Neurospora crassa OR74A: one gene and its partners. The protein of the gene in region 4 interacts with the protein of the main gene of each other region in a pairwise test. Links are inferred from orthologs where the notes say so. Each region holds a gene or a part of one and is shown on either strand. Other genes may lie near its edges. The genes, in order: NCU07041, NCU01008, NCU04439, NCU03018 and NCU03794.

Evidence for each region.
Region 1: the proteins of NCU03018 (region 4) and NCU07041 interact in binary tests that used the Saccharomyces cerevisiae proteins (3 or more experiments, as listed by UniProt). The link is inferred for Neurospora crassa OR74A from reciprocal best matches to the Saccharomyces cerevisiae genes UTP18 and KRR1.
Region 2: the proteins of NCU03018 (region 4) and NCU01008 interact in binary tests that used the Saccharomyces cerevisiae proteins (3 or more experiments, as listed by UniProt). The link is inferred for Neurospora crassa OR74A from reciprocal best matches to the Saccharomyces cerevisiae genes UTP18 and IMP3.
Region 3: the proteins of NCU03018 (region 4) and NCU04439 interact in binary tests that used the Saccharomyces cerevisiae proteins (3 or more experiments, as listed by UniProt). The link is inferred for Neurospora crassa OR74A from reciprocal best matches to the Saccharomyces cerevisiae genes UTP18 and HCA4.
Region 5: the proteins of NCU03018 (region 4) and NCU03794 interact in binary tests that used the Saccharomyces cerevisiae proteins (3 or more experiments, as listed by UniProt). The link is inferred for Neurospora crassa OR74A from reciprocal best matches to the Saccharomyces cerevisiae genes UTP18 and PWP2.

What each region holds. Positions count from the first base shown.
Region 1 is NC_026504.1:4,997,223-5,003,330, reverse strand, and holds NCU07041 (90S preribosome/SSU processome component KRR1), read right to left. Parts: upstream 3,412-6,108; 5' UTR 3,233-3,411; coding exon 2,978-3,232; intron 2,920-2,977; coding exon 2,570-2,919; intron 2,503-2,569; coding exon 2,145-2,502; 3' UTR 1,638-2,144; downstream 1-1,637. Other genes in the region: NCU07042 (alcohol dehydrogenase), read right to left, coding at 185-201, 270-1,300, 1,432-1,490; asd-4 (GATA type zinc finger protein ASD4), read left to right, coding at 4,895-5,166, 5,298-5,382, 5,953-6,108. UniProt on the Saccharomyces cerevisiae protein: Required for 40S ribosome biogenesis. Involved in nucleolar processing of pre-18S ribosomal RNA and ribosome assembly. Essential for vegetative growth.
Region 2 is NC_026505.1:2,663,363-2,668,769, reverse strand, and holds NCU01008 (U3 small nucleolar ribonucleoprotein IMP3), read right to left. Parts: upstream 3,009-5,407; 5' UTR 2,810-3,008; coding exon 2,709-2,809; intron 2,650-2,708; coding exon 2,619-2,649; intron 2,541-2,618; coding exon 2,517-2,540; intron 2,450-2,516; coding exon 2,339-2,449; intron 2,284-2,338; coding exon 1,999-2,283; 3' UTR 1,633-1,998; downstream 1-1,632. Other genes in the region: NCU01009 (hypothetical protein), read right to left, coding at 1-775, 829-1,105; NCU01007 (mito ribosomal protein S18), read left to right, coding at 3,480-3,579, 3,676-4,088, 4,251-4,508; complex I intermediate-associated protein CIA84, read right to left, coding at 5,134-5,302, 5,383-5,407. UniProt on the Saccharomyces cerevisiae protein: Required for the early cleavages at sites A0, A1 and A2 during 18S ribosomal pre-RNA processing.
Region 3 is NC_026504.1:3,353,363-3,359,984, reverse strand, and holds NCU04439 (ATP-dependent RNA helicase dbp-4), read right to left. Parts: upstream 3,984-6,622; 5' UTR 3,863-3,983; coding exon 3,716-3,862; intron 3,639-3,715; coding exon 1,314-3,638; 3' UTR 1,179-1,313; downstream 1-1,178. Other genes in the region: NCU04440 (hypothetical protein), read right to left, coding at 4,634-6,622. UniProt on the Saccharomyces cerevisiae protein: ATP-dependent RNA helicase required for ribosome biogenesis. Involved in the release of U14 snoRNA in pre-ribosomal complexes. Required for pre-rRNA cleavage at site A2.
Region 4 is NC_026501.1:8,426,113-8,430,243, forward strand, and holds NCU03018 (small nucleolar ribonucleoprotein complex subunit), read left to right. Parts: upstream 1-1,331; 5' UTR 1,332-1,617; coding exon 1,618-3,489; 3' UTR 3,490-3,667; downstream 3,668-4,131. Other genes in the region: NCU03019 (hypothetical protein), read left to right, coding at 184-337, 415-698, 762-1,073; NCU03017 (hypothetical protein), read right to left, coding at 3,717-4,106. UniProt on the Saccharomyces cerevisiae protein: Involved in nucleolar processing of pre-18S ribosomal RNA and ribosome assembly.
Region 5 is NC_026505.1:2,436,077-2,442,394, forward strand, and holds NCU03794 (periodic tryptophan protein 2), read right to left. Parts: upstream 3,918-6,318; 5' UTR 3,744-3,917; coding exon 3,613-3,743; intron 3,546-3,612; coding exon 977-3,545; 3' UTR 807-976; downstream 1-806. Other genes in the region: NCU03793 (hypothetical protein), read left to right, coding at 1-119, 245-444, 509-726; NCU03795 (cell division control protein 12), read left to right, coding at 4,982-5,086, 5,158-5,320, 5,389-5,699, 5,757-6,318. UniProt on the Saccharomyces cerevisiae protein: Required for bud-site selection and cell separation. Also involved in nucleolar processing of pre-18S ribosomal RNA.

The DNA of each region.
Region 1 (6,108 bases), on a different chromosome or scaffold from region 4:
GAAGGTGTTCTGGTGAGATGGGTCCTCTTCTTTTTGTCTTTTTTTTCCTTTCGCACTTTTCTTTCTTTTGTGTGGGTGTTCTATTTTCATTTAATATGCAAGTTGTCAGAATACATCGTTCGTGCGTCCTCCTTTTGCTCAATGAGTATAGACATTGGAAGATATCGCTCCTTTTTTGATGCTTTTAGTGCTCTACTGAGACTAGGTATGATCAGTTATAACCTCCTCACATCGTTTTCTCCCCAGCGCCAGAAATGTTCACAACTTACTCTTGTCCTGGTCCTCCTTTCCATCAATCAAAACCACCAACTTGCCAAACTGCTTTCCCTCCTTCATCTCCTCAAACAACTCATCAATCCCCTCCAAATTATCCAGTCCCTTCACCACCTTACTCACCACCGGCCTGATTCCCTTCTCTCTCACAAACGCCACCATATCCTCAAACTCCTTTCTGCTCCCCATCGTCGACCCCTTCAACTCCACATTCTTTAGCACCGCCTGCATCAACCAATCCATCTTAGGCGAAACCGTCATGCCATAACTACTAATCACGCCTCCCGACTTCAACAGCTTAACACTCCTCGCCACCACGTCCCCACCCGCTCCATCCACCACCGCATCCAGATACGGCCTGTCCTTCGGCAACTGTTTCATCAACTGCTTATCCCAATCCTTGTCCTTGTAAATGACGCCCCCCTTGGCTCCCATCTTCTTCGCCTTCTCGATTTTCTCCGCGTTACCCGACGTCACAAAGACATTACACCCCATGGCCACCGCGAACTGCAACATCTGCAAAGCCACACCACCCCCAATTCCCGTCACGAGAATATTCTGCCCCGGTTTGGCCTGCGCCTTGGTCACCAACGCCCTCCACCCCGTTAGTCCAACGAGCGGGAGGGCTGCGCCCTCAGCAGCGCTCAGATGCTCTGGCGCGGGTACTGCCTCCGCCTCGGGAACAACAATGTACTCCTGCCCCGTGCCGGCGTCGGTCAACTGAGATGAGCCAATGACCGTCCAGGGCTGGTTGGGGTCGTCGGGCCCGTCGGGGGAGGAAATCCATCCGCGGCTGGGGGTGATGAGGACGGGTTTGCCGACGAGCTGGGAAGCGGCAGGGGAGACGGAAGGGCCAGTGGACTCGACGACGCCGTAGCCGTCAGCGAGAAAAGGTTGCTCGAAGGAGATGCCGGGGTAGAGGTGTTGGCGGATGAAGAGGTCGCGGTGGTTGAGGGCGCAGGACCGGAGGCGGATGAGAAGCTCGCCGGGGCCGGGGGTTGGTTTGGGGATGGTGTTTAGTTGGAGGCTAGATGGGGAGGCCGAGGGTTAGTCATGCGGGGAGGATGGTGGGAGTGAGTTGGTTGGTGGTGGTGATGGGGATATGTATGGGGGAGAAGAAAGGTGAGGTTATGTGAAGAGGAAGAACAAAACACTTACGGGTAGTAAACCTGGCCGGGTTTACCGTCAATTTTCTTGACAGTGAGTTGGAGAGGCATCTTGGCGTTGTGTTTATGTGTGGGTTGTGTTTTACCGAGGCCAATCCACTGGATGAGTGTTGAAGTATGTTCAAGAAGTGAAAGAAGGAAAGGGTCATCAAGTTTAAATCAGTTGCGACATCGGCCAGATTTGTTATCAATTGGACCCGGGGAAAGGGGTGTTGTCACTCTGTCATTGAGCCTCTCCCACCAACCCTGCCACCGACCAATGGCCGCCCCCACTCTCCCCCGCATTCGTTGCCGGATCCCGCTCCAATGATGCAACTGCCTCGGCCCGCCTTGTGATGCCCCTGGTTTGCGATCCGCCGGGGTGGAGCAGCCCGGTTGTGGTGCGGGTCTGCCACATCGGGCTTTATTCGCGATCGTCATCGGGTTTTGTTTCGGCCTTGGGTTTCGAAATGTCGACAGATTCAAGAACCGACATCTTTTCTGGACAAGTCATTGTTTTTGATAACACATTTGACAAAGGCTTTTGGTGAAATTTAGCAACCAGATCACCCTTGGATCCCGAAGCAGGAGAAATCTCAATCGTCTGCTGAAGTATGGGTATCATGGGATTCCAGGATCCTTTCTCTTTCTCTTCATCATCGTCTTCCTCAACTCCATTTCCACCTCCACCGCCCCCATATTTTGGATTGCACCACTTGTACCAGCTTAGTCGCTCGTCTTCCTCTTCTTGGCCTTCTTGTCCGTCAACTCCTCGGGCGGCACATACTCCTTCTCGCGCTCGCGCTTCTTCTCCTCCTTCTTCTGCTTGGCCTTCTCTGCGCGCTCCTGCTCCGCCACCCGCTGCTTGGCCTCCTTGCCGAGAAAGTATTCGCCGGACTCGATCTGGAGATCCACCTTGCTCTTCTCGGGCGCAGGGGGGAAGGGTGTATAGTTCTTCTTGGTCTTGTCGTTGACGACGTGGGGGACGCGGCGCTTGGAAAGCGTGCGCTTCTTGAAGTTGGGGAGGTAACGAGACCAGTCTTCGTGGGCAAGAGCGGGGTCCTTTGCGAGTTCGCGTTTGATCCTGTTTTCTCATGTCAGTTATTGTTGTTGTGGGGCGTCGCAAGTGGGCGTGCAGGCGCAAAACTTACATCAACTCCTTAATCATGTAAATTGGGTGAACGTTGTTCATGGTGTCCTCAACAACCCTCCTCACCTCCTTCAGACCCTTGAAAGGACCCATTACCGACACTGTGTTTCCGTGCACGAGGATATATGTTTGTGTGAGAAGCTCGAGAGCCTTGAGCGTTGTGCCGTTCTGTCCGAGAATTCTTTGGCGCCTCTTAACAAAACGCTCCTTGTTCCGTACCATGCTGCGGATCTTGATGATGTCGCAGGCCATGCCATCTTCGAGAATTTTGATCGCTTGTGGGGCTGGTACTGAACGGGCGAGCAACTTGATGAGATCGCGGGCGTTAAGAATAGCTGCGGGGTCATATGTCTGGACGTGAGTTAGCAAAGAGTGGTGACTATAAAGACAACAAACGCATCCGCCGTACCTTTCTTGTCGTCTTCACTGTCATGGAACCCTCCACCAAATCGAGAACTGCGGTGATGCCGTGCTTGTCGAGGGCCTTGGTGATGAGTGGCCACGAGTCTCGTAGATAACGCTCGCGGTACTTGGGGAATAGGGTCATAAACGAAGACTCCTCGAGGAAGGGGCCGGAGGATTCGTCCTTGGTGAAAGGGTCGACCTTCCACTTGTCGATGTCGTCTGTATCCCACGGCTTCTCCTTCTTGTGTGTGGACGGCATTTTGGCTGTAAATGTGTTTCTCGGGGCTCTTGTGGGCTGTTGATGTTTATGAATAATCAGAGGTCTCGATTGAGGTTGTGCGACAGGTCACGATATCAGGGCGAGCGACTTGGGTCTGGTGGTTGGATTTGATAAATGGCTTGTTGAAGGGATTGTATGGCAAGATGGCCAGCCGAATCGCGCTGCACGGATGGAAATTTTTGGAACACAAGCCTGCCGCAGCTGGTAAGAGTGGGGGCGCGGCGCTTCTTGCAGGTTGAGTTCCGGCTGCAGAAGCGCGACAGGATCAGCGGCCAGCTGGCAGATGCAGGGGCAGCTCCTTATCTGATAACTGGAACTTCCACTTGCATGGAAGTTGTAACTTTTGGAACCTGGTATTTTCATTGAGGACGACAACAGCATAAAAAAGGAGCAAATATAAGAAAACGACCGGATTCAGTTATTTCAAATCTCAGCGAGGTGGAAGTTTGGTTCTGTCATTACTGTCCTGCTGTACTTCGCAACGAGTCTATCCAAGTACTCTTGGCCATCTGCTCCTTTCAGCTGTTTTTTCCCCCCAGGTTGTAGATGTTATCTTATCTACATACTAGCTTATCATGACAGGGGCTTGCACGGCACGGCACGGAACATCAACAAGAAATCACACGTGCTGGCGACATCAAAAGGTCTTGATATGCCATGGTGGGATTGGCGACAAGAGCGTTTTGACTTGCTGGGGTCTCAACGTGATTTGTATACTCCCAGCAGGGCCATTGTTGACACCTGTACCGTCGGTAAAATCTCACCAAGGTGTTCAAGATACGCTGAAGTAATTGATGGTGAAGCATCGAATCCCGCCCGAGTCAAAGTTGACGAACTTAACAGCAGCAATTTTCAGGTTCGCCGTGATAAAGTCGCGGTAAGGCTGGATAACGTTCGTCGTTGGTTTTCCAGCTGAAGAACCAAGAAATCATCCCAGGTTCGCCCAATGAGAACCTGCAAAGATCTGACGACCCTGGCGCGCTGTGGTCATCATGATCGGGCAAGCACAATCTGCACTGTGGTACGCCACGGATTACAGCATTCCGTGCACGAGGTTTCGAAATCCATCAACGTTTTCCGTCAGAAAGGGGTAGGTTCGGTTTTGTGTCGCCAAGAATCAGAACTCCTTCCGTCCCTGCAACATCTTCCCCTTCTTTTTCTTCTTCGGCCCCGCGACATTCTACACTACTCCCTTCGATTTCCCCTTCGTATCCCTGGCGTCGGTCTTTATCCCGAACCCCAAGACCTTCAGGTATCGCTGCTTCTTGTGACCTTTGCCAAGATCGACGGCAATTGTCGTTGTCTATCCTTGAGAAGAAGAGAAAAGGAAAAGAAACAAATCGAATTCATCATAAGCACAGACGTCATTTCTGGGACGTTGACCTCGACCACCACACACCCGCACCTCCCTCCGCCTGCGCAGTCTCGATCCCGAAGTTGGCAATCCCGGTCACGGGCCCACGGTCTCGCTCGCATCCACCACGAGTGGGTCAATTGGCACCGACGCCGCCTTCAACCGCCGTGAAAGTCAAGCTGGCTTCGACTCGATCTCCGGGCCTTCTTCCCCTTATTCATCCGCAATATCCAACATCATTTACACCACCCACCGAGTTGGAGCTGCCTCCGGTTCAAGCCGTCATAATGGAGGATCCCACGACGCAACAGCAGCCCGCGGCGGCATCGCCATCCTTGCCAGTGCCGACCACGCTTGAACCCGAACCCATATCCCGACCGAGCTCGACGTCGACCCAGGCCTCGGTGCCTCAAAACATGTCGCATATGTTGCCCGGTATCGCATCCATTGCCACTACCACCACCACGACCACCACGACCACCGTCACCACCAACAACAACAATAACAATAACAACAACAACAACAATACGCCGGCGACAGTCACATCACCACAGCCTAGGTTAGTTTTCAGTCAATTGGGTTCACAGATGCCGAAGAAGAAGCAGTGGTACAAGGCGCATTGGCATTGGTGGCTCTGCTTGACACGTAACCGCGATGCGCCAACTTTGCTGACATTGCAATGGATGGCAGGCCCATGACCATGGCCGCTCCTCCCATGATTCCTCCAGGCACCTCTCCAGCTGCCAGCTCGCATCCAGGTCCAGGAGGCAACTTGGTAAGTCTACTCCATATTGGTGTTGTTGTATCTGTCCCCCTTATCGCGTATCGCATTATCCCAGTCGCGTCTTGCGACACAATCGGGCGGTTGGCAATGGATCAACGTCACGAAAAGCCAAGGCCACGGGTTTGCTGAGAATGGCAACGATTGCCATTGGCCATAGAGCCGGGTTTTGGTGGAATTCTGGCTGCTTATCTAAGCCCCTCCATGGCCCGACCGGGTTGTTATCGCAACAGCCCACTTCTTTGGTGGTAACCCACTGGGCTGCAGCGCCCCAAACCTGGAAGCGGCCCCGTCAAAAAATTTCCTTATCATTTCCGTGCTTCGTTCTTATCGACATCCCTCCACGTTCTATCTCATTCACCAGCTTCCACTCCATTCCCGCATTTATTTATCAAGGTTGGCTTATCGCCAGCATCTAATCGGCCTTCTATCTCTCCCTCTCGATACCATTGAGGTTCCCATCTCTTATCCGACAGCGCACCTGCACCACCACCACCACCACCACCACCGCCAACAACAGCAAACATGGCGACAATGGCTAACCATGATCGCGAAACCACACAGCCCACGTGCCAGAACTGCGCGACCTCGACAACGCCGCTATGGCGCCGCGACGAGATGGGCCAGGTCCTCTGCAATGCCTGTGGTCTCTTCCTCAAGCTGCATGGCCGTCCACGCCCAATCTCCCTAAAGACCGATGTCATCAAGAGTCGCAACCGC
Region 2 (5,407 bases), on a different chromosome or scaffold from region 4:
CAGTATGCGACGAGCTCGGATGCTGATTTGTGTTTTGGGAATCCGCGAGGCGTCACTGCCTGGTCGATTGCAGAATCTTTTGAGCCATCGCCGTCATTGTATGGCTGCATCTCTGGTGTGAAGGAATAACCATTATGATGGTTCATGCGGCTGTCGGTGGAGTTAAGGTGGCGAGGGGAGTCCAGACAGGCTGAAATGATATTTGAAGTGTTCATTTCCCCAAAAGAGGGTGCTATAACCGCAAGGTGATGGCTCGTAACATCCACTTGAGCTTGCGTGTGGTCCATGGGGGACGGATGCCGTGAGGCAATGTAAGTAGCCAAGTCAAGCATTCCCTCTTGGTGGTACAAGGGCGGCAAGTTCGGCGATGGAACAGCTTTCAGTATCCCCTTCTGCCCGGTGAAACCGAATGCGCTAGACTTCGCGAGCTCCGCAACCGTTCGAACTTTTGGTTCTAAGCTGTGGCCATGCTGGTGGCGGCCTTTCGAAGTAACTGACAGTTCCTGAGAAACTTGACTATCGGGCAATGTATGGTGGACAAAGTCACTGCTTGAGGGGTCCTGGTTTCCGCTCGTCTCTATCCATTCTTTGAGGGGGTAGAGATTGTAAGAAGGGCCGGACGGTTCTTCCTCATACGTTGCGCCACAGAAGTAATCACGCCCTGATTCTAGTGGTGAATCGAGATCATGGGATGAAGAATCGAATGTGACTCGGGAGCTTGCGTTGCGCGGTACTCTAGAGCTCGTAGGCGTAGTGTCCGTGGGAGTGAAAGGATCTGCTTGGTGAACAGTTAGCGGGCTTTGGGACAAAGATGACTTGTAGACGTACGTTTCCGAGGAGGAATCATAAACCTCATGTTGCCTGACTTGATGGTTATATTCGGACTTGGAACCGAATCAAGATGTTCATACTTGGGAATCGAGTTACGATCCGTCGAAGAGTACCGAGAATGCAAGATGTTGCTCAGTGCTTCCTGATAGGTATTGTTACCCCTGAAACTAGGGAGAGACAACTCCGAAGAGAGGGCGCGCTGGTATGGTGGCGGATCGATGGACCCAGAGTATGGGTTCGCATCTCGAACGCGGTTCTTCTGGAAAGTAGGCATGGCGGTTGTAGAACATAGAGGATGAGACTGGCGGTTTGGTGTCGGGAGGGCTCTTCCGGGGGACGAACTCCCACAGAGCGATGCTGATCTGATATGGAGCCCGGTGTCTCAGGGTGTCGAAAGAAATCCAACCTTGATTCAATGACAAGATGAGGATCAAGGTAAGGAGGTACGAGAAGTATAAGGAGACCTTGGTAACAGCAGAGAAGACAACCAGGAGTACCAGGACCATATAGGATAGAGATAAAGCCGAGGATAAAGGATGAAGTGAAGAACTGAATGATGCGGTGTTAGGAATACGGAGACATTTGTTAGGTCAGGTCTCGCTAGGGAGTGGGAGCGGAAGATGCAGAGAAAAAAGAGGAAATGCCAAGAAGAGGAGCAGGCCAAAGGGACGATTTTCATGAAAGAGTGAGCCATTGTAAATGAGCTACTTTACGGAAGGAGCGAGGCTCGTCGGATGTTTTATTTCGTGTGCTGCCAGTTTCGAGGAACGGAACAGAAAGAACGCAGGAGCACCCCTAAAACCCAGAAGTATGCCAGTGATATTGTCGGCTATTAGTCGGTAGTGGTTCGGAAGGAAGACTCACCAGGCTTTGGTCACAGTGAGACACTGCAAGTTCGAGTGGGGAGCCCGCAGCTGGTACACTTCCGCAACTCCGAGTGATTGACCTGTAAACCCGAATGGTGGTATCTTAAAATCCCTTTCACATATTTTGAATGCCTTTACCCTAAAACGCCACAGAATATTGCTCGCATATGAGCACTCCTCCCAATGCCAACTTGCAAACAACGCAGTAGTATGTCCTTTCCCAGTGATCCATTTTCCAGCCTTAGCTCCCAACGTACCATTACCACTTCCTGATATGCCCGCAGCCATGCTCTTCCGCCACTCAAAGAAGCTCGAAATCGTCCAACTTGTCGCGGTACTTCATAATGTTCTGCTTGATCTTGCTGCCGACAGACCAAGTGACGAAGTCCTCCATACTCCTCGTCACCAGGAAAGCAGGATCACGGACCTCTTCGACACCCACACGGACATGGCCCTGCTCAATCATCTTGGTCGCTGCTTGCACGGTCTCGGCCATACGAAGTCTGGTCATGACGACGGGCAGTCGCCTCCTGGCAAAGGCCGAGACTGTGACCTGGTGCTCCACCTGCGACAGCTTCGACTTGGACTGTGATTGGACGTTAATAACTGCTCGAGTTGAACTTCGATACCGGAAGACATACCGACAGAATTCCCATGTCGTAAAGCTTGTCGAGCAAAAGCTCCTCGTGCTTTCGCCTCACCTCGTTGTCTGGAGGAAGCAAACTGAGACGATGGGCGAGTTGGCGGAGGGACTGTGGCATATCATGTCAGTATGTCATGAACAGTTTCATATAGGTAAGGTTAGTTGATGAAACTTACACCGCACATCCTGTTGTACTTGTGCTAGAAGGGGGTCAGTTGTCATGGTCATTATGAAAAGTCACTGTGAGCCTCATCTCATCCTTGCTTGGATTAACATACATAGTCCTCGGGCTTCTGAATCATGTACCGTCTGTGTGACTGTTAGCAAGATGTTCTCACACAAAAACCACTTAAGGCGAATGAGCGTACCTGGCGACATCGTGATCTCTGTGCTTGTTGTCCGACTTGTAGTTGATGAAGTCGGTCTTCCGAAGAAGCTTCTGTTCCGCGTGCTTGAGCTTGCGGACCATGTTGGCAATTCGTTGTCTGTGTCACTGATGGTGTGCTGTTCTAGTTGGGTCGAGAAGTGTGTCGTTGTGAAAGGTATCAAAGATGCGGTATCAATCAGACGGGTGTGGAGGCGATGGATGGTTCAGTATCGTAATCTGATAGTAGCAGCAGCTGCAGTGGTGGTGGTGTTCTGGCGTTGAACTTTTGCTGCAATGAAAACTCTTGCCCCACACTTTCTCGCCTGCCGGGCCCCTTGCTTAGCGCACTCTTAGCCCGCAGCGAGCTCCATTTTACCCCATAAAATAAACCGGGACGCTTCAGGCTTTCCAGCAATCAGCTCCCGCCCTGCCAGCTGCCAGCCGCAAGCCCGCAACAGCGCCCCGGTCCGCGGCAGGCCCCGCCACTGCGCCGAAAAGAGATTGATCCGCCAAAAAGTGTCGCTGCCGGCCCGGAGCTCCAATTTCCAATTGCCCGCACCGACCGTGCCCGCCGCCGCCGCATCTCCCCGTCGCGACTGAACCCCCGATCCCCGATTCCCGACTCCGACCGATCGCGAAACGGGAGCTCCATTCTTGTCTGTGTGTGTGTGTGTGGTTTCCCCGAGAGGACTTGCACATCGCCAAAGCCCAGCTGTTACAAGCTGTTGTAACCATTACAACAACGACGACGACCACCACCACCACCACCACCATGTCGTCCTCTCGTCAATTCCTCTCCTCTGCGCTCAGGCAGTGCCGCGCTGCCGGCCAGAGGACCGCCCAGTTCTCGACCACCTCACCGGCCGCTGCCAGTATGTTCGCTCCGTCGATCGCAAACCCGATATGCCGCCCTCCACAACTCTATAAGCATAACACATAAGCTAACAACACCTTCAATCACCAAACAGTCCGCGACATCCCCACCACTTCCTTCCAAAATGCCCCGCGCACCAACACCAACACCTCGTCGCCGTCGAGCAACAACAACAACAACGCCGGCTCGAGCCAGTACAAGTCGGACATGTTCAACCTGCTAAACAGCGGCGCCGGCAGCCGGGGAGGAAGAGACAGCTACAACAACGCACGCGACGTCGACGGAGGACAGCGCTATGGCAGCAACAGCCAGAAGGTGCAGGAGCTGCTCCAGTCCGAGGTGACCTCCAACAACTACATGCGCATGATGAGGCGCCGGTGGAACAACGGCGACGTGTACGCGCCGCGCGACCTGTCACCGTACGAGATGAAGGGCAGGAACGGGGGATGGGTGGAGGCGGCGGATGTGGTGGATGAGCTTGGGTTTAGTCCGTTGGATAACTATCGTGTATGTTTTCTTTTTTCTTTTTTTTTTCTTTTTTCTTCTTGTCACTCCCTCCCCTCTCCCTTTCTCTTGTTCCTCCTCCTTCACACACCCCTCTTCCCTTCCCAATTCCATTGTCTCGAAAACTGGCCTCAGGCGAAATGCTAATTTCCTTGGGGACAACAGAACTTCTCCCTCATCTCCGACTACATCACCCCCTTTGGGCGGATAAGGCACTCCAAGGAAACCGGCCTGAAACCCGTCAACCAGCGCAAGATCGCCAAGATGGTGCGGCGCGCCATCGGCCTCGGTATTCACCCCTCTGTGCACAAGCACCCCGAGATCCTCAAGAACAGCAACGGCAGGCACTTGTTGCCGCTTGTTGTGCCCAAGGGCCAGAAGGCGAACAAGACCAAGAACTTTGATGGAGAGGATGAGAACTAGAATGGTCTGGAAGGTCTGGACTTGGGCGGAATGAAGGGGGAATTTATGGGGGAAATTTGCATGACTGGGCGGTTACGGGCGTGAGGTCGCCGTCTGGCTAGCAAGCATGGCTAGTAGCACGGTATGGGCTGAATGGATGGTTGATCGGCGGACTCTATTACGGTTATCGTAGAGTTGGTGTATTATTACTGTATACACGGCACACAAAATGGTATTTTGCAAAGTTTGGGCTTGGATGATGGCGGTCATCAAAGGGTGATTGTGGAGGAATGCGGATAGTGGGCATGAAAGATGGTGTGAACGATCACTCACTTCGTCTGTGCTACTGCATAATCTACAGAGACCCTGACGGAGAAACGAACAAAAAGACTAAACCTAGACCAAAACCGGTTCCAATATCCACCTTCTAGTTTTTGTCTAAAGGTGCTAAATGTAATGTACAACCCAAAGATGAACCATCCTCCTGCCCACCCGCTCAGAAGCGCAAAAAGCCACCTAACAATCATACAACGATGTACCCCTCCCTCTCTCTAACTCAAAATATAAAATTCTCTGTACAAGTCCTGTTTTTCCTTTCTTTCTACTTACTGTCGATATCGTATGTAATATGAACCTCCGTTTGAGGTCAAGCCTCAAACAGCCTGGTAATGTTGAACACAGGTCCCTGAAATTCGGTTTCTTTCTGCCCCTTACTCTCCAATCTCGCCCACTCCTCCGGGTACTCCTCCTTTGCCCAGGCCGCGAACTCGTCCTTGGACACCGGGTCGGGAAGGGCGTTATAGGTTAGTCCAAGCCTGTTTGATTCAGTTATTGTCAGCATTTTCGACAGCGTCTTGCAGGAGTTTTCCAACAAAAACAAAAATGGGAGACTCACGTCATCATACTAGCCCCATACCCCA
Region 3 (6,622 bases), on a different chromosome or scaffold from region 4:
TGATGCCTGATTTCCAGAGAAGTTGAAAATCAATGGCCCGAGTCTTTGCGGAATTGGAAATGTGCTAAAAAGCGTGCTGGTGTGCGGAAGACAGACAGAGGAGCATTTACAAGTAAGATGAAGCTGTACCAGTCATCTCGAACATCTGTTGACGGCGATAATTGCTGTCCAGGAAAACATCAGACAGCCTTACCAAGGGGTGTGTGGGTGTGTAAAAGACTGATCGCAACAAACGCGGCATCTTATCGTGAAGGGGCTATATCATGGATGCTTGCATCTCGTCCCGTCGTTCGTTTGACACAAGCCTCCCGTCAGTCGAGGGGAAGCACCTTAACTCTCCATTTCTCCTATTCCCCGCTACGGACCTCAGGCAGATGCCTTGAACGAGATGGCTTTGATCAGATACCTACCTAGACAACAACCAGTCTCTTGCAGAGAGTGTGCAAATAATTCAAGGGACGAAATATCATCATATGGGTTCCCTAGCAAGAGTGTTGATACTTAACTTACTCCGAACTGCTTGATCTGAGGCTTGAGCCTTACATATGCTGTGCCGACATTGCTACTTGTAAATGTCATACAACACCATCATGTTTATCGATTATTTTTTTCCCCCTTGAAGGATAGGTGGTGCGACGGAACGGCCAGTGTAGCTGACACCCAGGGTTGACATTAACCAGCCCGCTGTTGTTGCGAATCACTTGGAAGAAAAGGCATGTTCCCACGAGTGCGGAGAGATAGCTGGGTTACCTCACAGTTTCGCCTACGAAAAAAATGATTTCAGAGGAAAAGAGGACACAAAGAGAAGGTAGAGCATTTTCAAACTTTCAATAAATGAGAGGTAACGAACGACAGAAACAGATCAATCCCGCCTCAGATGGGGATGATCGAAGTATCAAATTTGACACCTTGACTTCTCTTCCAGGTTCTGGCCTGCTCCTTCATCCACAAATGATTGACGAAGGCGAAAACGGAAGCAGCCATCCATCCGAGTGTCCGGGGTGCTGTCCTGTGCTGGAAGGAGCGAGAGACATGCTTCAGAAACTTACGAAATGCTTCGTCCAGCCTTACAGTACCCCGAAATCTCGCCGCAAGCTGCTGGGAAAGGATGGATAGAGACTGGAGCTGGAAATGTATTCTACACGAAGGGAGCATAGTGGCATGGGACCGACCCTTTTGTCAAAATACGTGGTTTAGGTATCATAACAAGTCTAAAACTATCGCAAAATACGTATGTAAACATCCATGATTGGATGACGAACCCCGATATCTCTCCTTTTCCCACACCAACACCAACATTGAAAACCAACTCATCAATCCTCCAACAAGCCAGCGGCCAAAGCCTCCAAATCCTGCAAGTTATCCGGCTCATGATCCATCTCAATGACCTTCCTGCCGCCCTCCATCTTAGCCTTCTTCCTCCTCGGCCTGCCGTCATCGCTATACTCCGTATCCGAGTCATCCTTCTGGAACCACTTCTTAGCCTTCTTCTTAGGCGGTTCCCTATCGTCCTCGCTCTCGTCACCGCTGTCACCGCCCTTGCCAGCAACAGGCAAACTTCTGAGCAAAGCCAAAGGATCCTCCTCCACATCGCTGTGCGCGTCCAGCAGCGCCGGCTGCAGGGGACCCTTCTCCCTCTCGACCTCCTCTCCCCTCTCCCTTGCCTTGGCGCGCTCCCTCTTCTCCTTCCTCCGCTGCTTGGCCAGCAGCTTGTCTTCGACATCCTGCTCCTTGACCTTGGTGGCTTCGCTCTCGACGAACTTCTGCCTGAGCTCCTTGGCGTCGCCCTCCTTCTGGAAGTCCTCCTCGTCTTGCAGCTGGTAGAGCGGGTGGGCGTTTCCTTCGTCGTCAAACACAAGCTTCTGGCCCTTCTCCATGTACTTGAGCAGCTTCTTCTTGGACTTGAGCAGCTTCTCGCGACGGTGCGAGTCGATGACCAACTCGGCGTTCTTGCCCAGCTTGACCACCTTGGCCGTGCCGTCGGGGTTGGTGCCGGACTTGGCATTGCCGGCGGCGTCGTCGAGGGCGGCATCGTCGTCCAGCACGCGCTTGACCGAGAGGAAGTCGTCTTCCTCGTTGTCTTCTGCCTGATCTTCTCCGAGAAGCTTGCGGTAATGCGTCGACAAGACGTCCTGGTTTTGACGCTCGGCCATCTTGTCGTACTTTGTCCTGACCTCCTTCTTCTTCTTGCGGATCTCGCCGTCCGAGCCTTCGGTGTCGGACCCGCTGGACATGGCGGCGCGCGAGGCATTCTTGAGCTTCTTGACGTCCTCGCCCTTCTGGTATCTGATCTGTGGAGTACCTGGGAGACCCAGGCTGGAAGCAAAACCGTCGAGGTCGAGTTTGTCGAACTTGAACACCTCCTTATCCTTTTGCAGGTAAATCGAACGGACGTACGAGACGAAAGCCTTCTGTCCGAGGTATTTGAGATCGGGTGACTGGAAACACTGTGACTGTAGTTCGTTCTTGATGCTCTTCTTCTTGTTTTCTTTGACGTTCACTTTCTGGACGGTCACCTTCTTGTGCTCGAGACGCTTAAGGAAACCCTCTTCTTCGCTGGGGTCGAGGAACAAGACGGCGCGGCCCTTGCTCTCGTAACGCGCCGTTCTGCCGACGCGATGGATGTAGGTGTCGGCATCTTCAGGGCAATCGACCTGGATGACCCAGTCAACGGCGGGGAAATCGACACCTCTGGCCACGACATCGGTGGCGAAGAGGCAGGAGTATTTCGCGGACGTGAACCGGTTCGTGATCTCGAGACGTGCTATTTGTTTTTGGCGACCATGCAAATGTAGTAGTGGAATACCGGGCTGCATCCGCTTAAAACTTTCGTAGACGAATCTGACCTGCTTGCCGGAGGACATAAACACAATAATCTTGCTCTTGAGGTTCGTTCGTAGGAAGCCCCATAGCGTGTCGAGCTTCTCAGGGAGAGGTGTGACGATGTAATGCTGTTGGAGGCCGACGGGGGTCGCCGATGCTGCGGCTTCGTGAACAGAGACGTATTCGGGGTCCTTCAAGCTCAACCGGGCAAGGTCCGAGACACGCTTGCTTTGTGTGGCGCTAAACAGCAGGGTCTGCCTGCTCTTGGGAAGATGCTCAACAAGAGCGTCAACGGCCTGTTGGAAACCCATGTCCATGATGCGGTCGGCCTCATCAAGCACGAGCATCTGGAGGTTGTCGACATCGAAGCCGGCCGTTTGGTCGAGATGCTGCAGCATACGGCCAGGTGTGCAGACGAGGATATTCATGCGCCCAAGACGCTCCGCCTCCTCCTTCAAGCTCTTTCCACCAATGACCAAGCCTGCCGAAAAGCTGTGGTTGCGACCAATCTTCCTGAGAACTTCAAATATTTGGACGGCCAATTCACGGGTCGGGCTGATAATGAGGGCACCGAGACCGTCGTACTCAGTCCATCGTGCACGGTATAGCTTCTCGAGGACGGGAACAAGGAAGGCGAGGGTCTTGCCGCTACCTGTCCTAGCAGCGCCGAGGATATCTTGCCCTTTGAGCGCGAGAGGGATGGCGGCGCGTTGGACATCGGTTAGGACCTCGAAATGGGATGCGCGTAGTCCAGAGGCGGTAGGTTCGCAAAGGGGAAGGTCCGAGAACTTGTTGAGTTCGGTGGATTTGGGGTCCTAGTAGATTGAGACACAATATTTAGAAGCGTGTGCGGTTGTATGGTGAGAAACGGGGGTTCAGTACTAGGACTTACAAGTTCGTCGATTCTCTTCTGAAGCGCCTCGAGGTTCTCCAACTCTCTTTTCCTCTTCAACGTCTTGTGTTCGGCCTTGTTGGCTTTGGACCTCTCCTTCTCGGCTTTGCCCTTGCCACCGCGGCCTTTGGGGCCTCCTGGAGCCATTGTGTTTGTATCGTCTGAACGTGCTGGAAATTGGGCGTGGTGGGTTCGACGAAGTTCCAAAGGTCGGGTCTGCTAGTCGAGCGAATCCAATTGCCTGCGGGTCGTCGCTGGTGGCCTTTCAGTTCGATGCGAATGGGAAAACTTTTGGCGGAGAGCAATTCTGCCAGCTCGACCCACCTCATCCACTGTAAGCGAGGGGATCTGCAGCAGGGGTCTCGGACTCGCGGCCAGCTCAGACCAGGGTTAGGGTCATACGAGCAGACAGACGACCATCGAGTTGTCAGCCCCCAGTGACATTCTCAAGTCGTTGCTATGGTTCATGATGGGTTGGATGGGCAGTTGTACGGGGCTGAAGTAGAAAATTCACAGTAGCTTTTGCATCGAACCAAATTCGAATTGTAGTGGTTTTATCTCAGCGCCCACAACTTCAGCAATCTACATGTTTCACTTAGAACAGCAACATTCGAACATCAACACCGTGCCTGAGCAATGAAAAGAGCCAAACTATCATGAAAGCATAATGTATTGAACCACGAAAAAAATGAGCTTGAAGACGGGTATCGCTCGCTCACATGATTCCTTCGTAGGTAGACACCCGCAATAAAACCAACCCACTAGACCCACCCATATGTACGTTTCCCAAAGTTGAAAGCGATAAAAAAAAAAAAAAGGACCAAAACGCCTTGCCCCATTCCCAATTTCCTTGCTTTTCCCTTCAATACGTATTCGGTAGCTCAAGATCCGTCGCCCAGATACCCATTATCAATCCTGTTATTCCTCGCCCTCGTACTCTAATTCCTCCCCAAACAGTTTCAGGCGGTAAATGCATGTATGATCCAGGGCTCCATGGTTCGTCTTGGCTCTGACGACCACCTTGTACGTCGCCGCATCCAGATCGAGCAACTCCTCCGACAGCTTGTGGACAAACATGCCGTGGCTACCGCTGGTCTTGGCATAGTCGTACTCCAGCTCGCCGATCTTGACGTATTTTCTGTTGATGAGGGACAGCGATTTTTTGTTGTTTGCGTCGACCATCTTCATGTCAGCTTCGCGCTCGCCAGGGTACAACTCGTCCATCCAAGCCAGGAGTCGCTTGTTGTCGTCCGCGTCCGGATAGTATCCCCAAATCTCAATGTCTTTGGGCATGGACCCAGGGTCATTCGTCGCGTTCGGATGGACGTGCTCAACGACGATGGCTTGGGGAATGACATGTTTGGCCATCTCCACGGCGAGCTCGGCCCCCCTGCTGGCTGAGATGCCAGCGCACCAGCACTGGCCAACGTCGTTCCAGGCAGAGAGCGCCAGCATGTATTCTGCTTCCAGGGTGACCTTATCCTTGCTCGAAATGGGCTTCGGCTTGCCGAGCAGTTTGCTGAGGTGCTTGTTGCCTGGCAGTGCTTGCGACTCAAGTCGGTATACGGGGGATGATTCCGACAAGACGATACCAGCTTCATTGCCCAGGCCGAAATGATTGACTTGAGTTTCAACGTAGTCGTGGTAGTTGCGCATGATGCCGTCCTTAGCGGCTGCTTCAAGTTGCGCCCGAGGAATCTCCTTCTTGACAATATTCCTAACCAAGGTGGTGATTTCGGACTTGGAAAGACTGCCTTCGGAGTTGGAGATGGCCGCCTTGACCGTAGTGTCGATGAGTGTCTCAAGCCCTTTCTTGACGGAATCCAATTGACCATCAATCTCCTCCTTGTGTTCTGCAATCCTTTTCTTCAAGAGGCCCACAAACTCATCTCGGCTGATGGCTGCGTCACGCGTGACCCCATCGCCTTTGTCGCCTGGTAGATGCTCCTTGACAACCTGGGCAACCTTTTCCCCGTTCTTGGTTACCCAACGTTCCCAAGATTTGGAAACAGTGCCTTCAGCAATCTGCAAGATATGCTCATCCGATGGGCCCTTCTCGAAAAGTCCGGCTTTGATGAGGCGCGGCCGTAGTGCGTCCCAATGCTCTTCGGAAATGTCACCAGTGCCGTCAAGCGTGAGAACCGAGCTGTCCTTGAGCATCTTATCCAGAAGAGCATGCCAAAAATCGTCCTGAATGATGAGATCGCCGTTTGGACCACGTTTAACGTGCACCATCCGGGGAAGAAGAGTTTGGATGTTTTTGACAGCACTCTCCGTAGAAGAAGATTGTTCAAGGATAAAGTCCTTCAAGTCATTAAACTGATCATCCGTTAGCTGCGGATGACTGGGGATGAACTGCCCGACGTTGCTCCTCCAGTGCTTCCAGCCATACCATCGGATGCTGGTATTCGCATCCGGCGAACCATAAGAAGACGCGGTTAAGACTATCAGACCGATGAGGAGCACTGGTACAAGGAATGTGAACAGCTTCCACACGCCCCATGTCGAACGGCGAATCAAACTCAGTAATCGTTGCACGAAGGTAGGAGGAGCAGTAGTATACGGAGGAGGCGGTGTTTCCACGTTGGTGGTATTTGACTGTTCGGCTCGCGGCCTGGATGTTTGGTTTGGTCTTGCAGCTGTGGGCTTGGACACCTTGCCAAAGGACGGATACTGTTTGTCAGACATGGATTTCGCCTCTGTGTCGAACAAGTCTTGGTGTTGATCGACTTGATGGGAAGGAGGTTGGAGAGAATTGGAGAGGGTTGACGCTGGTCGCCTTGCGATTCTGGGTGGTTCTGGAGGCTCTGGGGTATATCGGGCTAATCGCTTTTGTTGAGCCATTCGCACCTCTTCTTCGAGCACTTCCCTCATCTTTTCCGAGTCCGTGTAGACATCGCTTTCCTC
Region 4 (4,131 bases):
CCTTTTCGAAAACGTCAATCTGAAGATCTTTTCATCCATACGTTAGGTTAGTTAGCTGTCTGTCTTATCCAGGATACGCCCAGTTGCTGTCCGGTCTACTCCTTGACAAGTGCATTTTTCTTTTAGCTCCCTTCGCATTCCAAGGACTTGACCCGCCGAGATCGTTGAATCACATTGCTGAGAATGACACAATCATTGTCTCTCGCTGTGTTTGCAGCTGCGGCACTTTTTGCGACTAAGGGTCTTGCGAGCAACTTTACCGTTAGCAATGGCCAGATTTTCACCCCTGGTTTTGTTATCGTCGATTCCCCCCAGCCGGACACGCCTCTTGGCGGAGGTTAGTACTATTAGTACCCGGCTGGCTGTCGGCAAAGGACTTGAGGACTTGCTACTAATAAGCTTCAACTTGTGTAGACAATGTCGAGATTGCGCTCGATGTTTCTGCCAATGGCAAGCTTCCTCTACCGCCCTACGGCGACGACGCTTCCAGCCAAATCTACAACATCAACATCTTCCTTTACAGCTACGTAACGGGCCGAAACTTGACCATCACCAACGGTACTGCGTCGGCCAACAATGCCACACTCGGTGATATCATGCTCTCCGAGCCTGGTAGCACCGTGAAGCATGTCCGGTGGACATGGCCCGACTGCATGGTTGGCGATGGTACGAATGGGAACGATCGTGGCAGTTACAATGTGGGTTTTCCAAATAGTCAGCTTAAGAGTGTGTTGATAGCCATTTCACTGACAATTCAAAAGATCTCCATCCACCAACGCTTCAGACTCAATGGCGAGAACCACTACACGATATTTGATCTTCCCGTCTCTGTGACCAACAGCATCAGCAAAAGCGACGACCGCCCGTCTTGCCAATCACTTGATAACCCGTTACTGGCGCCCGAGGACATCGATTGGACAGACACTAACGAACTCGGCGCCCTCTTTGCTCCTGGTGATTCGACGGTTATTGAGACGTCGAATGTTGGTAGTGGTGCTGGGCTGGCGAGCTGCAAGCATGCACTTAACTTGTTGTGTGTGGTGGGCATTAGCTGTGCTCTGTTGTTAAGCTAGGCTCTAGACTTGCTTGTCGTCCAATAATCAAAAAGGTGGCTGTGAGATGACATAGAATCATCTGCAAGGATACCAAAACACCACGTACTCTTCATGCATATGTTCTTTTTGAAATCATATATTTGCTCTGCGTGGCTCATAATTTTAGTACTAGTTCGTGTCTGGTCAGATTTATTGTCTTCGAATGAGTTCACATAAAGTCATCTTCATCACAAAGATATTGTTAATGAAAGTAGCATTGAGGCATCAGATAAGTTTAATATATGTTTATTTTTTTACTTTTTTTTTTGTAGGGGTACTTCAAACTTATTCCTTGAACAAGGCTGGCGTGCTTGTGATAGCAAGTGGGTCCAGATTAAGTGGGACAGGATCTGCGATCTGCAAGGCTGATAACGAAAAAAAAAGTTCCCAACCTCAAAACAAACCAAACACTAGCGACTGGTCGTGGCATTTCCGTCCATTTCAACTCCATTTAACCAGGACCGGATCTCACAGCAAAAGTTCCCGTTACTGGGCTTTGCGCAATCTCCTAAATCAGAACAAAATGGCGCCACAGACGAAAGACGAAGTTTCCGACGACAACGAATTCGTCGGATTCGACGAGGAGAGCGATGAGGAGATGCACGACAATGATGGCATGTCAGTAGACGACGACGACGAGGACGACTCCGATATGGATTCAATTGCCGACCCGAGGAAAAAGTACGATATTGAAGAGAAGGACTCTGACGAAGAAGACCTCGAACGATTCGTCTTGGGCAATAACGACACCTTCCGCGCCCAGCTTTTCCGCGACGATTTCCTCGCCGATATTACCGATTCCAAGGCTCTCATTAGGACCGACAAGCAAGATGACACGACTGGCCTCGAACATGTCGACGATAACGCCCTCTTCGCGTTCGATACTGGCGTTCCCGGTAATAAGAAGCAGACAGAGGCCGCGCCCTCTGCGCTAGAGGCTTACGAGCAGAAGGAGGACCCCCCAGCGTGGGAGGACAGCGATGACGAGCGGTTGACAGTATCCCTTGCGGCTGCCTCGCGGTTGCGCAAGCTGCGTCAGTCCGAAGAGGAGGATGTCGTGAACGGCACCGAGTACGCGCGCCGCCTGCGCTCGCAGTACCTCCGACTATACCCCCTTCCGGAGTGGGCCAAGGAATCCTCGGCCGCCAGCCAGCGCCGGAGGAGAAGATCTTCAGCCGCCGGTTCCTCCTCCGAGGAAGACAGTGACGCCGAAGACGACATCGAATCCGCCCTCCCTCTCGAGACCTTCCTCCGCGACGTCAACTCTTTCAACGCCAGCGCCGATGCCCGTGGCAGCAAGCGCCGCAAGCTGCGCCCCGAGACCATCGACATTCAGCGCTCGCGCGACATCCCCGACATTCACAAGCAGTCCGTCAGCTCGTTGTCCTTCCACCCCAAGCACCCCATCCTGCTCTCGTGCAGCGTCTCCTCCATCATGTACCTACACCAAGTTGACCCGACCGCGCACCCGGTTCCGAACCCGGCCCTCACGTCGGTGCAAGTCAAGCGCACCGACCTTCGGCGCTCCGAGTTCCTCGGTCCCGATGGCGACGACGTCATCTTCGCCGGTCGCCGGCGCTACTTCCACAGCTGGAACCTCTCGTCGGGTGCCGTCAAGAAGATCACCCAGATCCAGGGCCACCAGCGCGAGCAGCGTACCATGGAGCACTTCCGTCCCTCGCCCTGCGGACGCTACCTGGGGCTCATCGCCTCCGAGAAGAAGGGCGGCGGCATGATCAACATCGTCAACGTGCGCACGATGCAGTGGATTGCGCAGGCGCGCACCAATGGCCGCGGCGGCATCTCCGATTTCGCCTGGTGGGGCAACGGCAACGGCCTCTCCATCCTCGGCAAGAACGGCCAGGTCACTGAGTGGAGCATGCTCAGCCGGCGCACGGTCGGCGTTTGGCGCGACGAAGGATCGATCGGCGGCACGGTGATTGCGCTGGGCGGGCAGAAGGGCACCGGCCCTAGCCAGATTGGTGGCGATCGCTGGGTGGCTGTGGGCTCGAATAGCGGCATTATGAACATTTACGATCGGAATGATTTGGTTGAGCCTGTTAAGAAGGAGGGTGGTGCGTCGGCGTCCAAGGAGGAGACAGTGCAGATTAAGAGCATCCCCACCCCGCAGAGGACGTTTGAGCAGCTCACGACGCCCATCTCAGTGGTGACGTTCGCGCCGGACGGTCAGCTATTGGCGTTTGGTAGCTTCCACAAGAAGGACGCGTTAAGGCTGGTGCACTTGCCTAGCTGCACCGTTTACAGGAACTGGCCTACGGAGCAAACGCCTTTGGGTAGGATCACTGCTGTGGCGTTTAGCCACCAGAATGGTGGTGATGTGTTGGCGGTGGGCAATGATGTGGGCAAGATTAGGATGTGGGAGATTAGGAGCTAGATCTGCGCATTGTGTAGTGCGTTGAGTTGGCGATAAAATAGTGCGGAGTATAAACTAGTGGTAATCTAAGGGTTTGAAGGTTTTGGGCCATGAAATTCTGTCCAGCTCGTCTAAAAGGTTTCAGCAAGTGTCAGCCCTATGGCAACGATATGTATTCCCATGCTTCTCCTTGTACGCATGACATGCATCAAACCACGTCTTCAGAGGCATCAGTATCCCCTCAATCCTCAGGTGCTTCCAGTTTCCGTTTGCTTTACCTCCTTCTCCCTTTGCGACTTCTCCTTTCCCTTCAACTTCGCCTCCTTCTTCTTCCCCAGCCTTTCCTCTCTTTTACTCTGCAACTTTTCCTCCAAATCCGGATCGAAAATGTGCTTGAGCATCGCGTGCTCCGGCTGATCTTCGATGACCTTATTCCTGGGGTAAATCTTGCGATGCCCTATTGAATACTTTGAGAGCGCCTGAGGTGTTGTGAATCGCTGCGGCCTTGACTCCCCCCCGGCCTGAATGATTCTATCGGTTTCAAGGACATCATAGATGTTGACGTGTACGGCTTTAATGGCCTGGTGAGGGCGAAAAGAAATGGGTATCAGTAATGGCCGGTTCCCCGGTAGTGTGGCCTAGAGCGAGAAGGGACCAAAGAAG
Region 5 (6,318 bases), on a different chromosome or scaffold from region 4:
GGAAAGGAAGAGTTGCAGGAGAGGACGGCGGAGATGTATGATTCCGCCGTGTTTATGGCTAGTGCGGCGGCGTTGGTGAAGAGGAATACGAAGTTGCCGAGGTTTGATTTCTTCTTGATGTGAGTTTCCTCGTCCGGTTTTGGTGTTTCTGGTCACGTACCGCTGCCCCCCCTTGAATTCAAGAAGGGGTAGGCAAGGAGTTGGACGGGAAGATTGATACTGACTGACGAACGACTTTCTATAGGCACCATGTCACATCAGCACCGTTTTTCACGACAGTCAACGCACAAGATTGGATATCACTTGACACCAAGGTCCGTCTTCTCGAGTGGAAGATCAGGATGGATTTGGTTCAGTACGCGGCGCGTGGAGCGCCGGAGTTGTCGCTTGATGCTATTACTTCTTATCAGCCTAAGGAGAAGAAGACAAGTGGGACTCCTGAAGGTGAGTTGATGATTACCTCGCTTCTGTCGGCCTTGAACCGCTACTTATACTGATGATTTTCAAGAAATCATTTCCAACCTGCATTTCTTTGAGGACGATGGTCATAGCATCAAGCTTGCCCGAGCTGCACGTATTTGCCAGCTCTATTATCAAACAAGAGATGACGATTACTGGAACAAGGTCTACCACCTGATTGTCGACTCGGTCCTCGCACCAGGACCAAACTGGGTACGTAGCTGTGGGTTCGATGAGGCATGGGAGGATATTCCCAATGTCGAGTAAAAGGCATCTAGCAATCCACAAATGTTGGACTAAGGGGGTATGGCATTGCTTTCACACAGTTTCGCATGGCGTTGTAGTTGTATCCCAAAACCCCTATTTTCTCTATTGCCATGAATTGGTATCAAAATCATCTGTACAAGTTATAAACTAGAATGCCGGTTGACAAACATTTTCCGTATCAGCGCCTATCCTATGTGTGGTACCCTTCCTTACCGTTACAAAAATCCTATAGTACTCTAAATCCTAGGACCTATACCAAACCGATCCACTCGTCTTCGCTGGCGTTCCCCTCATCCTGCTGCATGACATCGTTCAAGCTCATACCGCCAGCGCCCGGCTGCTCATCCGAGCCGGTGGTAGCCCACTCAAGCGCCAAGGTCTTGGTGGTATTAGTCTCCTTAGCAGCGCTCGCCTGACCGAGGAGGTAGTCAACCATGTAGACGTTTTCATCGGCCAACTTCCTGATCTCATCCCTCATCTTGGAAACAGCCCTTGCGACAACACGAAGCTCAACATCGACCTTGCCGCGGTTGGCAGACAACCACGCGCCGTGCTTGTCGACCAGAGCCTTGATCCAAAGAAGACAGAACTCAACGTGAGGGCTCTGCTCGGTCTGCGCGGCAACGTACCGCAGCAGCCTGGCAACGTACACGTTGGGAAACTGCTCGACCACCAGAGGGATGTCGGTGTAAGGGATGGCCTGGAAGACACGCTGGATCAGACCGGCCTCGTTCAAGCGGAAAGCCATGACGAGAGCCTTGAGGTAGTCCTTCTCCTTCTCGAGCACGGCCAGGGTAGAGGTGGGGGTGATCTCCATGTTGAGGTCAAAGGGATCGAACTGGATGGTGGTGTCCAGGCTGTAGATCAAAAGACCTTCTGTGGAGGCGGCGCAGAAAGCACTTCCGTTCGGGGAGAAGGCAACGCCGTTTACTCTCACTTCGGGATTCTTCCTCCGTGCGGAGGGGTCGCCGCGCTTGGAGCCTGGGAGTGACCTGTCTATCCTGTCCTCGAAATCGGAGGCCTCGCCTTGCTCGTCCAGGAGACCCTGGGGTCCAGCCTCGGTGAGAAGCTTGCTGTTGAGGAACTCTTGAGTGCCTTGAATTGAAAGATTGACGCTCACGGTGTACTTCTTCAGGAGAACCATGGTGGTGACGGAGTACAAGCAAATATACTTGCTGTTTCCGCCGGCCAAAAGGCACGATCCGTCTGTGCTGTATCTGATGGTGTTGAAAGCCTTGGTACCGGCAACATTGGCCGCAGTCCTGCGATCACCGATCTTCCGACCGCCGGAGACATCCCTGCGTCCATCAAGACCAGCTTGCTGCTCAGCTTCCGAGACCGACCAGAACGACAGGTTGCCGTCGAGAGTGGAGATGGCAATCTGGAGAGAATCTGGCCTAAAGGCAATGTCGAGAACATCCGAGTTGAGCTGGAGAGGCTCGCTTGTTTGTGTGCGGTTGAAGATGGACCAGATACGGGCAGTGCGGTCCCAACTACCACTCACAAGAAGACCGCCGTTAGGCGCAAAGGCCAAGGATGACACAGGGCCCTCGTGTCCCGAAAGACGATCTAGGAGCTGGCCAGTCTGGACAGACCAAATATGAATGTCGAAAGAGTCAACGGAGCCAGCCGCCACGATTTCGCCACTAGGATCAACTGCCATGCAAGAGAAAGATAGCCTTTCTGGTGCTGTAAAGGTCCTGAAGTTTCTGTATCTGATCAAGTCCCAAGCCCTGATGGAACCGTCCAAACTCGAGGTAAACAGGACATTGCCCTTCTTGGAGAACTCGCAAGCAGTGATGCCGCTCGTGTGCTCTGTGAAGGTAACAATGCAGAATCCCGATTCCGTATCCCACACCTTAATCTTTCCATCATCGGCGACTGTGACAATCCGCTGACCGTCCGGAGAGTAAACGAGGGAGTTCATCGAGTCGAAATGGCCCTGCTGCTTGAGAATGTAAGACTCGGACTGCCACTCCCACACCAAAAGCTGACCAAGCTTGGATGCGCCAAACGCCAGCCACTCGCCGCTCTTGTTGATCGTCACAAAGTCAATTTCGTTCTGGGAGATGCTGAGAGTGTGGATCATGTTGAAGTCGGGCATTTCGTAGAGGCCAAAGATACCGTTCGAGAAACCGGCAACCAGCAAGTTCGATTCGGGATGGAAAGCGGCGCATCGTACGGTGGCGCTGTTCTGCATGAAATAGTGCTTGTTGACTATCCTCCAGGCCAGGTCATCGTCGTCCACCATATCCTCGTCCTGTCCAGGCTTCGCAACGTATTGCCAGTCGAATACGGCGCCGTCCTTGCTGACTGTGTAAATCGTCTCTTGATCCTTGGAAAACCACGCGCCCACGACACCCTGCCTGTGACCGGACAGAACTGTAGGTGTGAACCCCTCCTCTTGATCAACACTCCATATCCTTGCTGTGAGATCCTTGGAAGATGTGAGGAAGAATCGCGAGTCGTGGGACCACTCGATGTGACGGACATCGTCGAAGTGTTGGACGTGGGTATGGTGCTTGACGAAGGGCGCAAACTCGAGCTCGCCGTCGGCGTTGGCGTCGGGTGTTGAGGGAACGTGCCAAACCTCGATTTTCCTGCCGAGTCCAACAATGAAGTGGCGCCCCGATGGCGAAAAGGAGAGAGCCGTTACTGGAGCCTTGAAGGAGAAGTGATATAGTACTACGCGCCGGGGCACGTTGGTGAGAATAGCTTGGCCATCTTCGTCTATGGAGAGTAGGAGGTTGCCCTGGGGCGTGAGACCGATACGCGCAATGTTCTTTCGGTGGGAGAAGGGAAGGGTATATGATTTGTTACTGCGACCGTGTTAGCCAGCTTACAAGCCATGCGCCAGGCAGGTGTGTAGGGAATCTTGAGACGTACTCGACAAGGTTAAAGACTGTCACCCTGTTGCCAACGGGCGAGAAGAGATGGGTACCGTCCGGGCTGAACAAGAGGTTGCCCTGGCAGTAGACTGTGCCCAGTAGATTAGAAAACTTGAAGTCGGTCTTCATTTTCAAACACTATTCCATGCCTCGACTGTCAACGTTGGAGATGGAGCAGAACTGGGATAGTATCTGGGGATTCGATTATGTACAGGAACTGGAGGACTCTTTCGAGTCTGTATAGGTAAGTGGAACAGAAGTTCAGTTACAGGCTGCTGCTGTTGCGCCTAGACCGCCCGTACGTTCAATGGCGATTCTGCCAGCCAAAAATTTCATAAACTTTTTGGCGGGGAATGGAGTCGGGTTAGCTCCTCGCTTTGGCACCAGCTGGCAAAAGACTTGGCGTATCTGGCAGCCTCACCGACCGCAGCGAGACCAACCACTGCACGGCACCACCAAGCACGGTCACCAAGCACAGTGCAAGGCTGGCAGAGCTGGCAATCAAAGGGTCAAAGGGTCGACCAAGTTTCCATGGCAATGAATGGCTGATCACCGCCAATGGCGCTAGCAGGGAAGGCACGCATCGATTAAATGCTCGGCGAGGGTACCTGGCAAGCGCGTTTCAGTGGAGAGCTGCCAGCGTAGGTCCGTCTCTGGGGACCTGGAATTGGGGAAGTGTGGGAAGCAAGTGGAAAAGGGGAGGGTCCACTCATTTCCCTGCCGCGCAGCCAGTCAAGAGCGGCCTTGTGTGGTGGCAGCTCTACACTACTGCAGAATGCCGGGCTCGAAAGGTGCCATTGGATTATATGGATCGTGTACCGTGCGCCTTCTCGGCATCATCACAGACGGCTGCCGTGGCCCCGCCCAGGCACCTCATCTGGAGGATGGAATCGAATGCTGCTTGCTCGCTGCTTGCTCCGTCCGTCTGCTGCCGCGGCCCTGCAGTGCCTGGAGTGCTTGGGGTTCAGTCAGTGTGGGCTAGGTTTGGCCTGGCGCTCCCGTCCCCGTCGCTGGTGCTCTCTCCTGCGTGGGTGTGTGGTGCTGGGTTGGGCCAGATGAATGTGGTGTGGAAATTTGAACAAGTAAATTCCCCTGAACGAAAGCACAGAGCTCCACGACGGGTCCCCCGTCCACTCACCACTGCAGTTCCATCCCCCGTCTGCCTCTCGCTCCCACCCGTCCACTGTCAACACCAACCTAATTTCGATTCCCATTCACGACCACCACCATACCCGTACACCACGCATCCCGCCTGACGCTCTTTTTCTCCAATTGCCGGTGCTTCTTCTCGCCGTTACAGCAACGGGATCGTGACTTAATCCTCTACCCATAATTATCTCCCAGTTTCGTGTTTCGCCCAGCTGAAGATGGCCCCTGCCACTACCGAGAGCGCCTCACCGATTGGCATTGCCAATCTGCCCAACCAGCGACACAAGATTGTTGCTAAGAGAGGCGCTGCTTTTACTATTATGGTGCGCTTCACTGTCCAAAGCTTGCCGAACCTCGCGCTTGTAAAACCAATGCTGACGGCGTGGGTGGATAGGTTGCTGGCGAGTCCGGCCTCGGCAAGACCACCTTCATCAACACGCTGTTCTCCACGACCATCAAGAACTATGCCGACCACAAGAGGCGCCACCAGAAGCAGGTCGACAAGACCGTCGAGATCGAAATCACAAAGGCTGAGCTCGAGGAGAAGTTCTTCAAGGGTACGACAGCACATCACGCAGGGGGACCTTGGTGTCTTGTAGGAGAGCTCTGTCTAACCAGCTTATAGTTCGCCTGACTGTTATCGACACCCCCGGCTTTGGTGACTACGTCAACAACCGCGACTCGTGGATGCCCATTATCGAATTCCTCGACGACCAGCACGAGTCCTACATGCTCCAGGAGCAACAACCCCGCCGTCAGGACAAGATTGATCTCCGTGTCCACGCCTGCTTGTACTTCATCCGCCCCACCGGCCACACGCTTAAGCCCCTAGATATCGAGGTCATGAAGAGACTCTGCTCTCGCGTCAACCTCATTCCCGTTATTGCCAAGGCCGACACTCTCAGCCCTGCCGACCTGGCGAGGTTCAAGTCCAGGGTAGGTTTTTCCCTTTACTTGAAGATACCACCCATCATCGCTAACCATGACTTCTAGATCCGTGCCGTCATCGAAGCTCAGGGTATCAAGATCTACCAGCCACCTATTGAGGAGGATGACGAGGCTGCCGCACAACACGCACGCAGCTTGATGGCCGCTATGCCCTTTGCCGTTATCGGCTCCGAGAAGGATGTTAAGACCAGCGATGGACGTATTGTCAAGGGCCGTCAATACTCGTGGGGTGTGGCCGAAGTCGAGAACGAGGAACACTGCGACTTCAAGAAGCTCCGTTCGATTCTTATCCGCACCCACATGTTGGACCTTATCCACACAACAGAGGAGCTGCACTACGAGGCTTACCGCGCCCAGCAAATGGAGACCCGCAAGTTCGGCGAGGCTCGCCCAAGGAAGCTCGACAACCCCAAGTTCAAGGAGGAGGAGGAGGCTCTCCGCAAGCGCTTCACAGAACAGGTCAAGATCGAGGAGCAGCGTTTCAGGCAGTGGGAGCAAAAGCTCATTGCCGAGCGCGACCGTCTCAACAAGGACCTTGAACAGACCCACGCCCAGATCAAGTCCCTCGAGATGGAACTCGAGTCTCTGCAGGGAAATGCCGTTCGCA